Lepisosteus oculatus: one gene and its partner. The protein of the gene in region 1 interacts with the protein of each later gene in a biochemical or structural test. Links are inferred from orthologs where the notes say so. Each region holds a gene or a part of one and is shown on either strand. Other genes may lie near its edges.

Region 1 (7,697 bases):
TTATTGTTCTTTTGAGCTGTCTACCACCTGCACTGAAAACCTGAAAAAGTGAAGGTTGACCTTCAGAGGTTCTAAGAGAAGCTCGTATGGGTTACAGATGGCTTTTCTACCCCTTCATGTCCGTGGTCTGTCCTTCAATGCCTGTGCTTTTGCCCCTGCAGGACGCTGAGCCCCATGATGCGCGCAGTGCGGAGCAGAGCAAGAAACCCAAAGGACCCGCCCCCCAGCTGCGACAGAAGCTGAAGAAGGAGAGCAAGAAAAAGAGATGACCTGGCGCAGGGGCTGTGCCCGCGTGTGAGATCGCAGTTAGGAGGAGCATCGGAAGTGGCTGTGTCAGGCCAAGGAGACAGATTTGTGACAGGGCGGCTGAGCGATCTCAAATAGATAAAAAGTGAAATCCTTTTCATGCACAGGGGGTTAATATTGAGGCCAAGGGCAGGGTGGAGTTGGACACCTCTGTTTCCTCCGGCTGTGAAGGGGGTGGTCTCCAGAAAGCCCACAGTCTCTGTGGGGGAGGAGCTGAGTCCTAGGTGTCATGTTTTGCCTGTGCTCTGCAGCACCTCACTTAGGGCTTTGGCTTGCAGTGTGAATGGAAATTCCAGAGGTAAAGAATGAGCTGAAGCACACAAGGAAAGGGGTGAAGTGGAGTGCTTCTGTGAAATTCCAAGAATCTGCAGAAGGCAGCCCTTCAGAGCTCAGAATGAAACCTTTCGCTGGCCTGTGCACGCCGTTTTCACTTTTTATCACGTGAACCTGTTACAGACCTGTTTCAGACTTTCTCATGCTACTAAAGCCAATCGTCATCTGTTTACCACTGCATAGCAGCCTTGACTCTGACCAGCTGAAACTTCCTGGTATTGACATACCACATGCTCTCACTAACTGTGGCCTACGTACGTGGGCATTGTTTTTTCGTTGTTGGCTTCAGTAGTCTTTTCAAACCAAATATTTGGACCCTTTGTTTGAACAGTCCATTCCCAAGCATTCTGGACATGGAAGAGACTTGAAGCAAAATCATTTCCTTCTGAAAGCTTTTGTGTGCTTCCCTGGGTTTAGTACGTTGTGCTTGGGCAGGCCTTTCACATAATATATTTTTAATTGGGTGCTTTAAATATAGTGGCCCCAACCAGCATTTTCACTACACCTGTCCATATATAGGAGATGCATGAGAATGATAACTGAATATTGCATACTTAGGAATGCAGCGTCCAAGCACAAGTAATCTTGCGACTCAAAATAGTACGCAAAGTGCACGTACGGTTTTTCTAATAGGTATTTTTACATTTGGTTGACAAATACCCATTGGAGCCACTACTTGTCCTTGTATTATCATTTACAAGTAATGTTTAGGTACAGTACTATCTACACTTGACCTAAACTCTGTGAAATCTCCAGACAATGCATTTTAAGCTCTTGAACACTGGTGTAAAACCTCTTTGAAAAGGTTTGGAACAGTTTATTTTACTACCATTCTTGTTGTGTGCACAGCTGTAAGAAAATCACTGTGTTTAACGTGGGCTTTGTTTATGCTCTCCTCAACTTAGTCTTGTTTGTTACATTTCTCCTTCAGAATGTGTCACGGCATTGTTTTTTTACATATTGCAAAACACTTTTTGCTCTGTCTGGGGCTTGATGTTTTTTGTGTGCCGGCATTTACTCCCTTTTTAAAAAAAATGTATGTAATATTAACATCCGCCATTGCATGCCTTGTTCCTAGAGTGAATCTCTTCACATTTTGATTTCCTTTTTTTTTCTTGTGGCATCATGTCTGTGCACAAAAGCGCTAAAGAAACTGAGGCAAGACTGAACTCGCTTCCTTAGTGTCTGATGTGCGGTACAAGCTGAGATGTTTTCCTGTAAATGTATGGAACACTAAGGAAATAAATTCCGCCTTGAGAATTTTTCTACCCATTTTTGTGTTTCTCCTTATTAAAGTCTGGCAAAGCTTTGTTTTGTGCTTTTAGACTCGTGCAGGTTTTTTCACTTTTATTTTGAGAGCCAAACAATGTAGCCGGGAAGGGTGAGCAAAAATTAATGTCATTGCAGATCTGGAACTGTATCCGAGAGGAGCTCAGTTTGAAAAAGCGAAGGCACACAGTTCCGATGGGGGTTGGTATCTTGCAGCAGCGTTCAACTTCTGGTTTCTAGAGCATGAGTCTGTGTAATTGTAATTTCACATGGATTTAGAATCTGTCCTGTCTGCATGCGGGGAGGAAGCCTGGTTTGAGACTGCTCAAATGCCACTGCACAAACAATTTATTGCCATGCTTTTTCACAGTCCAGTGTCACTCTTGACAATATGTAGCTCCAAGTGATTTAAGAACATTCTTTCCTATGTGAACGTGACATTCACATCCATAGCTTCAAAAAAAAAAACACCCTGTCAAACAGAAGGGGGATTCTGGAGTAGTTGGTATTTTTAAACTACATGTCTCAACTTGGAAATCTTAAAATATGGAAGCTAAACATTAACATGAGGTCCACAGTTATATACCATGTGCGGATTCTGCTTACAAAATTTTAGAAAGGTGGATACACCAGGTAACTTGTAGGTGTTCGTATACATAGAGTATACATGCGTAACTAATTTACATTGTCAGTTTCTCTAAGGTTTATTTACAGGGCCACTGATCTTTTGGAATTTGCATCATCATCCCCTTTGGAATGGAAAAGGCCTTTTCTGTTAAAATACTTCCGTTGTCATTTGTCTAAATGGACATGATGTTATTACTGTGTTAATAGAGTCTGTTGGTTATGGAACTCATCTAGACTAGAATGTCTTTATACTAGAATAATGCAAATGAACTATTACTAACATAATCTAACCCCCATATGAGAAATGATAATAAATCTCTGCACAGTTCTGTAATTTATGGAAAGGCTGAATAAAACTTGCACAGTACAAGTATTCACCTTTAGAGTGATGCTTGTTTAGGTACAATTTAGATCAAACATATTACTGCCAGAAGAGAGGAACTGTATTATCTATGTAATAAAATGGTCCTGTTAATCAGTCTGTGCATTATCAATGCATAGGCAGGTGTTAAAGGTTACTGAAGCGTGTTTACTTTGGCTCAGTTTTGTGCCCTTTGAACAAATAGCATTTTTATGGTGTTACATTCCAATCTTCAAAAGTGGTCACAGTCAGGAGTGGACCAGTGGTTCGCATTGCTGTCTCACAGTGCTGGGGTCCTGGGTTCACATGGATTTCCTCCAGGTGTTCCGGTTTCCTCTCACCGTCCAAAGACATGCCAGCCGATTGATTGGCTTCTATAAAACCTGGCCCTGGTGTGTGTGCCCTGAGAACGACTAGCACGTTCCTTCCAGGAATTATGCTGCCTCGTGCCCACTGCTTGCCGGATTTGGCTCCAGCTCCCAGCGTGCCCCGGTGCTGGATAAGAAGATGGCTGGATGGCTGCTGTCACCTCCATGAGCAGAGTCATCAGGAAATAAGGGTTACAAACAAGGGGAGGCCATGTGGCCCATTCTGTTACTCTTGTGTTTTTTTCTGTATCAAAGTATCTTATCCAGTTGCCTGAAAGGAGTGATGGTATCACCATTGACAAGGTGGCTGGGTATCATACCTCCAACTGAGTGGTCAGTTCCAAAGCAGTCATTTTCATTACTGCCCTAAACAACTGGGCCACAATCATACATGTATTGTACATAAGTAACTGTGGATAAAGGTATCTATTAAGGAATGATCTAAGTCTTATACATTTCTCAATGGCAAGATATTTCTTAATGGAAGGCTGATCCTGAGACCCAGCCCGCTGTACATCAGGTAATCTTTTGTTCATACTCTGCTGACTCATTCTGTCATTCCTGATTTGGGATAAAACCTACAGGAGTGCCACACCTCTCCTTCCTATTTCATTTTGACATTCACTTACACTGAAGCACTGTTACACAGTAACACTGAACCTGGGCCCAGAACGCTTCCTCCTCTCTGTTCTAAAAATGAACACATAAATTCATTCAGTTGGCTTAACTTTGCATTCTCTTCACTCTGGAAACATTTTTTGGACATTTGGTGAGTGTATCAGAATCAGATTTTTATTGTTGTTGTATGAAGTCCACAGATTCACAGCAGGAACTTTGGTATTTAACAGAACCTTACTGCTGATTAATTACTGTCTCATTCTTCCTAAAAATACATTTTGTGCCTGTGTGTATGGCAAAGCTATGTGCGCAGTACTCTGTTTGTCCAGAAATGGTCAATTACAGGGCCAGCGGCTCAGATTGCTTTGGAATGTATAAAATCCACTAGCCACGATCCATCCAAGTTCCGTCAGTGCTCCTGATTTATTTTTATGTTCAGTCTCTCGCCTACAACTGTACAGTCCAAACCCCTGAAAGCCAGTCACCCACAATCCTGTGTCATCAGAAACACGAACTTCGAAAAATCTGTCTTTTTTTTTTTCTGGCAGCGCTATAGTGTCATGCACAGGCGTTCCCCCAGCCTATATATAACGTGTCACATCAAGGTGTTCATATATGGGCACCAGCAAGGCCATCCTTTCTGGGAAGCAGCGTTCCCCTTTGGTGTCCACTAGGCGGGGTTGTTTTATATGTAAATTCCCAAACCCCCTCCTTCTAAAATCCATTGGCTTCTTCCGATTCTTAAAAGATCGTACGCAGGCAGCAGTGGGATAGCCGCCCAGCCACACCAGCTGGGAGCCTTTTACGCCGATTCCGTAGCGCCCTTCGGCCGATCCTACCTCCCCTTTCGCTCCCAGCCTTGCGAATGGTCTCGCTGTCTGCCTCCTTCAGCCAAGGTCTGTTTTTCACCATATGTGATTAGGCAGCGCACTGCGCTGCTGCGCAAAAGATTGATCTCCCGTAATAAACTATTTTCTTTTTTTTCCCATTTTCCCCCAGATCCATGTGTTTATTAGGCAAGGCATTCGGGAGGTGGATATCTCCTTGCCTTTTGTAATCTCTTGGATTTTATAAAAGTTGAATTCAGCACTCAAAATCGGTGCTGTTTTTTTTTTTCCCCAGGCAATCCCCGCAATGACCTCGCTGCAGCCCTCCGATCTCTTGAATGGGATTTCAGATCACTCCTAGCATTTCGTTTCTGCTCTTAGCCCTGCGTGCCGTATCGGTTGTCTTTTTGTGTGTGTGTGTGTTTCTTTGGATGACGGAGTAACAGTAACACCTCGGACTTCATTCAAAAGGAACACGTCGCATTTGAGACCAAGGCTACCAAAAGGATATAAAGAACCCGAATAGGTGAGTAACTTATTCTCTTCTGTCTTGCCTAAACCGATCCGGATACTTGGCATTTAGAACAGGATCAATGACAGTCTGTGGTAGCCCTGCATTACTGAAAAAGGCAGAAAGAGATACAGTGTATAGTTTTCTCTTCAGCGTGAGAAATCATCTTGTAAACCAAATGTTAATCTGGGACTAGCCGACCACGTCTCAGTGGGTTTCTCATTGATTCTCATTTTCCCAAGTCGTTTTTAAAAATTCTTATTATATTGCTGTCAATGTCTGAAGCAGATAACAATTCCCTACGGTTTATGATTCTCTTAACAGAGAGGCATCCGCTGAAGGACCGGTTAGTATGTGTCAGTTAAGCCTATAATGTATATTTCTGTAGTTTCTTAGGCTTTTCTAGCCTAAAGTAAACGACATCGATCAAGCCTGTAAATAAAATGATGACTACAACGCAAATGGCTAAATTACCTTTGCTGTTTTCTGTTATTTGTCCAGTTTGCGTGCGACCTAAACGATAGTTTTTTGTTTGTTTTTAGGTGCTTGTTATTTTAAAATTAAAGTTGACTTAAGAGACGAACAGTTAAATTACTGCGTCCTTTTATGGTTTTTCACACCCATAACATTTCTTTTTAAAGCAAGATACATACGGGTATGACTCACCTTGTTGGAATCTGTCTTGTCCATTAAGTTAGCATAAACGTAATGCAAATGTCGGTAACTATGTTTAAGGGAAAGAATTGCAACAATCCCTTTGTTCTTAACACCTTAGATAACACAAAAGTGAGCTGGGTCAGAATGATCTCTTTAAAAGAAATGTAAGACGGCATGACTTGAATTTGTTTCCATGATGTTTGGCCAGCGTTTGCTCCAATGAAAAACATCAAATTCGTCATAAACACATCAGGACAGTTGTCAAAATGTGTAGTTCGAACGAGTAATTTTTCATTCTTTTTGCCCTTAGCATAGTTAAGGGTTGTGTTTTTAGAATTCATGACACACCAGCTGTAGTTTTCTTTTTTGCAAGACAATACACAGGTTTTGACATTTATCCTTGCTCATCACGTGTGTTGAGAAATACTGCAGTCTGGATTTCTGTCGGGACACTGAGTGGAGTGAGACGTACTGTAGACACCCGAGATCATTGTTTGAAATTATTTCGAGAGAATGTGGCCGTAGCAGCAAACTGTCTCAGAAGTCATTTCAAAGTCTCCAGTCACAGCAGAAGTAGGAAACCTCTAGGACTACAGTACTGTGATCTATATTCCGTGATCGTTGAGTCCGCTATAGAATTCCTGTACCGTGATAAAACACATATTTTTTTCAGGAATTCCTAAAAGCATTGACTTTCTAGTGAGTACTGAAGAATAGTATACATATACTGTATATTAATTTTAATGCTGTCTCTGACTTATTTCACACCCAATAAATACTCCTTGAAATGTTATACTTTTCTAGGGTTTTTATTATGCTTTCTGGCAGTTCCATCAAAACCAATTTCTAAAGCAGGAACTTAACAGGCAGTGTGCAACATTAATTTGCTTCCCTCTAAACTAGTTGCAAGCGCTTATTTGTGTGTGGGGATTGGATAATTAATGCCAACCCTGAGATTTGTTTTGAAGCAACTTCACAAAATTTCACAAGTGCGGTGTTACAACATTTTAGTAGGAAACGTACACACGCAGGGCTGATACGGATCTAAGCAAAACCTGCAACAGTGTCAGGTGTGTTGTGTAGCAGGATATGTATCCAGTTGGAAAATATTGTAAAGTAACCATCTAGTATAAAATTCCATTAAAAGTCTAATAATCCTTTACATTTTAGTATTTTTCCATTCATGCAAGATGACTGGACTGGAAGTAGATTTGAGCTCCTGATAAAGTAACAGCATCTGCTATGTGATGATGCCCACCAGAAGCTTTTTCTACCTACTGTATTTGTCACAAAAGACTAATTAGAGCATCACGTTATGTAAACACTGGAGCACATACTGTACAACCCTCTGCATTTGCCTTTTATCTTATTATAAAGTTTCTCAGTTTCCCTTGTTTGGGTTATTAATATTGCATCTGGCCTGTTTTCATTCAGGTTTTTACCTTCATTACTGTGATACATGACTGGAGGCCATGGCATTCATTAAATCTTGAGTTGCATTGTGGTTGGTAATAAAGTACAGGTACACCCTATTAATCATACAGAATGATAAAGGCCTTTCATTGGTTAAACATTGTCACATGATCATGGCACTGAAGCTATAAAAGGGCCTGCATATTGAAGACGTTTTTAAACTGTATAAATCATTGCTTGCCACTATATTGTAGATAACTGCAGTTTCTTGCCATAGCTGCCAAATGACATGTATGCCAAATAGTATTTGTGGAATTCATAACATAGCATGATGTATAACTCTGTGTCCGTCTGCCTAATACTTTCTGGTTTTGTTTTAACTTCAAGTTGAAATATTTTTCTTCACC
Region 2 (7,583 bases), on another chromosome or scaffold:
ACCTGAGAGTCCCCAAGCACCTCAGCAACAAGATAGTAGCTGTTACAGAGAGGTTGAAGTTCAGCTCTGACCACTGCCTAGTCTCTATAGGAAGAGAAGGGGCTTTTGAGATTGAATTACTCTTTCAGTGGTTATAGTCCATGATAGCATAAAGTATTGCAAAACAAGACTGGCTCCTTCTATTACTTTGTTATTGCCGGCACCTGCAATTTGGTTGAAAAGCACAATAGAACATCTGACTACTGTATCCACCTCTGCCTGTCACAGAGCAGATGAAAAGGACTCTTTAGAACCTGATACCTAGATGTACTTGTACAACTCCAGCCTCCTCTGAAAAAAGGCACTTTGGCACGATCAAAAAATGGCTGCTTTGCTTATTTTAATGGAGGTTGCTAATTGCTTTATGACTTTATGAATGCTGTTGGTTGTGAGACAGCAGGAATATTTTTATATCAGCAAACATGACTGTATCCTGGTGATCAGATTCAGAAAGGAAAGAAATGTATCCCTTCTTTGTGACAAAAGTAAAAAAACACAATTATGTTTACATTGACCACATAGATTAGATTTTATTTTACCGCTATCTTATGTATCCAGATAATACAGCTTGCTTTCTGCACTGTATCACTGCAAATCGCCTAACCACTAACAACTCAATAAAAAACACCCTGATTGACATCCTAAGAGTCTCACTGTCTTTGTGTCTGGTGTGGTAACTCCAGCCTCAGAGCTGTACATCTGTATGTCTGTAGAATGGGAAACTGTAAGTATGTAGAGCTGCTCTTGAGGACTGCCTGAAACTGACACAGTGACTAGGGCCTGGGGCCCAGAATATAATGGGCTCCAGTTCTTAATGAAGACACTACTGTCCTTTTCCAGACAAGTCTTTCCCAGCCTCACCAGTCACCCCAAATGTTTAAACAGCTACCACTGTAACAGGGGCTTAAACTGCACTGTAGATGTAGATGTAGCACATATTCTCAGTTTTGATTAATGCTACAGACCCTTGATTGAATTGAGTTTTTGTTGACTCATCTTCTGAGGTCTGCGAAGGAGTTCAACCTTGAATTGTTTGAAAGAGTCTAAAGTTATCTTCGTCATTGCAGTCTAAGCTGTAGTTAGGCGTCAAAGTGAGTTACAACACAGAACGTCACATATGGAACGGCTTTGAATTTTAAGTGTACCTGTGCACAGAGTGTCACGTCATAGTCTAGTTAGTCACATGCATCACCATTTGAAAGTCATAAACAATACATCCGTTTAAAAGGCCGATCCTTAACAGAGGCCTGTTTGCAGTAAGGAAGTGAGAACACAATGCCAAAGGGAGGTAACTGCTTTTAAACAGGACACAATCTGACAGCCGATCTTTTGATTAGCTTTACTGGAATGCCATTTGTATTGCGATGCTGTTGCCAAGTCTGAATAGGAAACCTGCTGATTCTTGTAGCGCTTGTTGGTTAGCTTCTAAGTCCGGAGAGAAGCAGCTGCTCATCACTATGGTAACAGAAGACACGAAATCACTCACCCGCAGCTGGGCACAAAAACCAGACCTCAGACTTCGTTTCACCTGAGACAAACTGGCAATATTTTACACTTCTTCTTCTCCTGCTTGTTGAAACCAGACAGAATGAAAAAGTAGAAAGGGGTGAAGCAGATTTCACACTGTGTCCTACTGTAAATGCTTTCATAAACAGTAAAACAAAGTCAGATCATTTGAAAGAGAAAGTATTAATTTTATTCTGGGAATTCATCTGTTTTAATCCGTCTGTTTCCTGAGATTATATAACACAGATCCTACCAGCACTTACTGTTTGGTCAGCCTGGTTTAAAGCTGGTTCACAAAAACCTATTTTTGCCTTCAAACTGGCTATAGCCTTTGGTTAGCAAAGCACTCGTTTTTTATATCTAAAGTGAGAGAAATATATATGGTTCATGAATAAATTTGATATTAAATAGCGTGGCACCTCTGATGGTGCGAATGGAAACTTTGATAGACACTGTGGGAGTTTGTTTCACAGGTTGCCCACCATAACCGCCATTGTTTCATTTAAGCTACTCCTTCCTTAGAGGAAATGCACCGTGTGTCAAGGCTGAATTCTTTCAGATGAAAACTGTAACTTAAATCCCTTTGCTTTTGTTTTTTTCTGTTTTGGTTGACTGGGGCTAAATAAAACAAATCTTGAACAAGCAATGTTTGGGAAATCAAAGCACCCGCACTGTCAGAACTGGACGTCTGTGATGTAAGTCCACACGCAAGGTATTTCTACAGTATCTATGTGTACAGTACATGTCATATCTCACTTGGCATGTCAGTTTGGAGTGCCAGCTGGGAGACAGCAGCTCGTATGTGCAAACCAACAGAATATTTAAGAATAATTGTTACGCTTATATAGCCCTTTTGTGGACAGGTAATGGGGATCCCCTCCACCACCACCAGTGTGCAGCCCTACCTGGATGATGTGACAGCAGCCAGAGTGAGCATGTACACTCCCCACACACCAGCTCTCACTGGGGAGGAGAGCAGAGTGATGAAGCCAATTCCTAGATCGGGATTATTAGGAGGCCATGATTGATAAACCCCGGGATTTTTAATGAGGACAGAGAGTCAGGACCCCAGTTTTGTGTGTCCCCATCACTATACTGGGGCATTAGGATCCACACAGATGGCAGGGTGAGTGCCCCCTACTGGGCCCATTAACACCTCTTCCAGCAGTAACCTCAGCTTTCCCAGGAAGTCTCCCATCCAGGTACTGGCCAGGCGTCAGTAGGTTGCAGTTGTGATATATCTACCGGTCCCATGGCATTCGTAATCCTACATTCCTGGGTTTGACTATAGGCGTGGATGCCTTCTGTGTTTAGTTGGCATGTTTTCCAACGATCACATGGGTTTTCAGCAGGTGCTATAGTTTGCCTGGCTGAATTGCTCATTTCATGAGGAGGAAGTGTGATGCCCCATCCTCCAGGGAAAACTCCCCCACAATGCCAGAGCCCAACATAGAAGGGACATGTATTGAGTAGAAAGGCAATGACTTCGTCCGTTGGCAGCAGACTGGGTTCCCATCTGGAATGAAGTCATGGGAACTCAGACCAGACCAGACCAGGGGTGAGCAACACTGCCTTACAGGATGGCCGCACGCCAACTGACTGTAATAATAATAATAATAATAATAATAATAATAATAATAATAATAATATCGCTTTATTAGCCCTATACAATTTTCTTGCATTAGGAACTTGTCTTTTCACATACCCCAACTTGCTCTCCGTGAGACACACAGACAGGGAGAGAAGCTGGGGGTCAGAGCGCAGGGTCAGACATTTATACAGCACCCCTGGAGCAGTTGGGGTGAAGGGGCTTGCTCAGGGGCCCAACGGAGTAGGATTCCTCTGCCGGCTGCAGGATTCGAACCGGCAACCTTCCAGTCACAGGCACAGATCCTGAGCCACAGAGCCACCGCTCCGCCCCTCTGCCCATCCACTCATTCCTCCCACCACACAAGAGCGCCAAGGAACCTGTGGGGTCTTTGATTGACACAGCAAGGGGAACCCCAGCGGGGACACTGCCAGGGACCTTACAAACCCTTCTATATGGCCTTTCTGCTTTTATAGAAAACCACTTGCTCTGACATTTTTCAACAGTTTCAGCTGCTTAAAATGACATAAGTCTGGGAGCAGCAGAAATAGCTTGTTATTGTGTGAACTGGACTGTTTTAACAATACCCCACAGCTTTCCGGATAAACTTTGCTGTTAACTTAAGGAGAAAAATCAGAAAAACTGAAGGCAGGACATCTCCCTACCAAAAAGACTGGATACCCCCCAACAGTACAAATGTACATGCAGTGCAGACATCCATCTGGAAAATGACACCCCCCCACCTCCTCTTCCTTCAACTTCAACTTCCTTCAAATAACCCTTCACTGTGTCACTTCTGGTTTGTGCCTGTTCAGAAAAGTAAAAACTTCGGACTATCTGATTATCAAAGGGCGTCTATTATGCGTAGAATGTGGAGTTTAGAATAGAATATGGAGTTCTTACTAGAGACATTTATTAAAAAGCATACCAACGGGAAATACAGGAAAAGGAAATAAAGAAGACTGATAGGTAAATTGTCATTGCCTTCTAAATATATGTTTGATGATTCATTTAATAGCTTTCTAGCTATTTAGTTCCTTTCATTAGCAATAGCTCACTCAATGCTCTTAAAAATCCAGTTTTCATTTGTCTTATTAAACTGCATGTGACGTAATCACTGCCAGTAACTCAGATGATTTCCAGCCGCGCTGTTCCAGGCACTGTTACACCTTCCCTCCGCTGCAGCCTTTTTAAAGAAGGGATTCTTTTGAAGTTCGACGGAAGCACAAGAGGGAGGTAAGATTTTATTCTAGAACGGCGGTGAGGGCGTGAATTATAAACACTGCGATGTCGCGCACAGTCTAACCTTAGGCTTTCTGTCCCCGCCCCCTTTTGGGTTTTTGGAGGTGCTGATTGGATGAGATATTTACACCTTTATGAATAATTAAGTAACAGGAAAGGATTCTCCACGGTTATTGGACCAAGGAGCTGTTTCCTGCTACTGGGGTTAGGTTGTCTCCAATGCTGGCAGAGGAAATACTTAACAACAGCGATTTTTCAGCAGCCATCGAGTTTGGGAAAGTTAGAGGAAAAACTGAAAAGCGAAGTTAGGGAATAAGGCAAACTGTTAGCACTTCAGACTGATTCTGTCCTTTATAAAAAGATTAATTCTCGCTTTTAGCATTTCTGTGAGGAAACAGTTACGGGACCTTGATTTTTCAAGAGGACCTCCAGTGAGAAATCAGGTAAGGGGCTCTTGTGTAATTGTTACGATTTGGCCAGTTTTTTTTAAAAAAAAAACCCTTGTTTATAACAACAAACCCGTAATCTCGGATTAAGGTCTGCTTCGCGTATGACGGGTTTTCTGCATTGAAGATGAGGGATGTGTAAAGATTTAAAAGCCACACGCTTTTGCATGACTCACACCAGACGAGTCAGAAACACAGAAGCGCAAAAAGCGGACCGCTCGGCGAGAGACCCGGGGATGCGCGTTTCCAAACCTGAGCGAAAGCGAAAGAAATGGCCAACGTCGTTGATTTGAAAAAGCACGTTTTTTTGTGTTTGTCCCCACCCCCTCTCTCGATTGAGATTTTATTGATTTTCCCCGTGTCTGGCTGCAGTGCGATAATTTCAAGGGAGGTGAGCCCAGCAAGGCGACAGTGGCGTGTTTCTGAGCGCTTACCTGCGCGTACGAGTGAACCCCCACACCTGGCGAGCTTGTTCTGGTATGAGCTGTCTGTAGTCTCATCAATGGAAATGCCTGTTCTGGGTGAATGCCCACTTTCAAAATTACTCCGTAAAGATCCCCCTCATTTGAAATTTAAAACCCCTTAAGGCTCGATAAATGAGAAGTCATTCCACATGTCATGGTGTGTACTGTAACCGGCATTCAGCCAAGTCGGTGCCAAGACCCGGGGAGTTTTTATATTACCATATACTAGAACTGCGTTGAAGAGATTCCGGAACTGAATGGGGTTCCGGCACCCTGATTGGGGGGAAAAAAAGAAATATGATGAGATATATGTTTTTTTGAAATGATAAAGGGTAAGTTTCAGTTCATCTTTCAAGTTGTCCGCGTAAAACCGTGTTTTTCGTGAGGAAGTCTGCAGAAGTGGGTTTAGCTTCATTGACGATTTTCTTTGCACGAACACTTGTGTGTGTGTGTGGATAAATATTAAACACATTTCCTGGTAGAGAAGAGGCGAGCTCAAAGAACAGTCCGACAGGTCGGAGAGTTTTCTGTTCACTTGTGATTCATCTGTTAGCATTACGCAATGCTTTTGCAGCGAAAGAGAACAGTCGGTGTCAGATCGACTTCCTCGCTGGGCTAAATCGAGCTTCGTTCTCGCTTGCTGTGGTGAACGGTTCCGATGACATTAAAAGGCTATATATTTTTTTTTAGTAATCAAAGTTACAAAGTAACACCTTCAGAAACGTTTTGGAATTCTGGCTTTCATTTTTACGCGCAGAACGGAGGTGAGATCATGACTAATGCTTAAGAAAAACTCACTTTCCTTCATCCACCAGGAGTTCAAAAGGGCTGGTTGTTGATTATTTCGACACCCCTGCTAAAACCCTAAAAATAAAAGGACGGTCACTTAACGTCTACGTTTATTTTTGGTTATGCAACCAAATAGTTTAGGTAAGGCTTTGTCTTCTGTGTTTTGGTTGGTTAGAGATCCATACCCGTTCTTTAGTACTTGCAAACTGTAAGAAACCGGATTTATGTTTTGCAGAGGTGAGGTGACGCCTTTGAACCGTGTGCGTAGTTTCACGGTGCTTTGGGTCAGCTCTGATTTTTGGAGGAGGCTGAGACGAGCAAATCGATCGCAGTTCTTCAGCTTTAAAGACGCGCTCGTTTCCACGGCCTGAGCATGTGTTGTGGTAGCTCGATAAATGAGGTGCTAGGTTCGGCCCTTTGAAGTGGCTGGGAAGGGGAACTCTGCCTTACACCTAAGCTCGCTGTGATCAGCACAGGTACCTGCTCGCCGGCTCGGGTGGATGTACACGCGAGTAGGCTTCATGACAGGCTTGGGAATTTCCTCTCTGGCAGCCTGAAGCACGTAGCTGAAGGTCGAGAATTTTTCTTTTACCAGAGAATGGAACTGTAGCGGAGGTTTGGAAAAGCTGGGGGGGGGTCCTTTGCACCCGATCTCCGTGCTGCAGGGTGGCCAGTCTCCACTCGTGAGCGTTGCCGTGCTTGAGCAACGAGTCGTCCATTGACACGGGTGATAGTGAGTGGGTGTGTGTGTTGGGGTGGGATACTTCCACTTGCCGTTCAAGAAATGACTTGGGCTTAGAGTCTGCGCAGATCCCACTCTTTTAGCATAAAGCATGGTCTGAGTTTTCCCAGATTTCCACTTTTCCACTCTCGCTCTGCATCAGGCATGGAAGACGCTTGGAGAAAGTGGGCTCGTTGAAGTCTGCAGGGCTTGATAAAGGTTCCTCTCCGCCTGGTGGGCGGCCAGTACTCGCTGATCAGTATGTGATCATTATTTTGTCGAAGCTGTCTTACACAGGAAGCTGCTTGTATTGATGAGGTCTAAATGCAGAGGTCTTTGCTCTGGTGTGGGCATTCCACTCAACATCTCTTCAGCACTGCACACTCTCAAAGATGTGCTGTTCTTTTGTGATGCCCGTTTAAGTGCTACTTGACTGAGCTACAGAGCTTGATGGCTTAGACTGCATTTTAAAATCAGGTGTTGCGATGGCTTGGTCTTTTTGCCTTTCAGCTCGTCACCGTGAAGGATCAGTAAAGGATTATACTAGAGGTGTGTTTCATAATGTCTTCGTCAGCCTGACATTTTGTTTTCAATATTCTGTGGTTTATCAATGACTTCACCTGCAATTGCCCCTGCATCCCTGTCTCTTCCTCTTTCTTCTCAGCTCTCATCTTCTCCCACTCCCACGCCTCCTTGGTGAAGTGGACTGTGTGCTTAAATGCACCCTTGTTTGAACCTGTCAGCTGTTCCACCACTATCCGAGTGCTTAAGTAGTGCTTTAAAAGTGA

The links.
Region 2: the proteins of src (region 1) and stat3 form a complex in vitro, tested with the Homo sapiens proteins (3 studies listed by BioGRID). The link is inferred for Lepisosteus oculatus from reciprocal best matches to the Homo sapiens genes SRC and STAT3.

The regions. Positions count from the first base shown.
Region 1 is NC_090711.1:12,030,418-12,038,114, forward strand, and holds the start of src (proto-oncogene tyrosine-protein kinase Src), read left to right. Parts: upstream 1-4,680; 5' UTR 4,681-5,235; intron 5,236-7,697. Other genes in the region: protein MANBAL, read left to right, coding at 162-269. UniProt on the Homo sapiens protein: Non-receptor protein tyrosine kinase which is activated following engagement of many different classes of cellular receptors including immune response receptors, integrins and other adhesion receptors, receptor protein tyrosine kinases, G protein-coupled receptors as well as cytokine receptors.
Region 2 is NC_090723.1:4,841,437-4,849,019, forward strand, and holds the start of stat3 (signal transducer and activator of transcription 3), read left to right. Parts: upstream 1-4,576; 5' UTR 4,577-4,818; intron 4,819-5,255; exon of another isoform or gene 5,256-5,444; intron 5,445-5,933; exon of another isoform or gene 5,934-6,049; intron 6,050-7,583. UniProt on the Homo sapiens protein: Signal transducer and transcription activator that mediates cellular responses to interleukins, KITLG/SCF, LEP and other growth factors. Once activated, recruits coactivators, such as NCOA1 or MED1, to the promoter region of the target gene.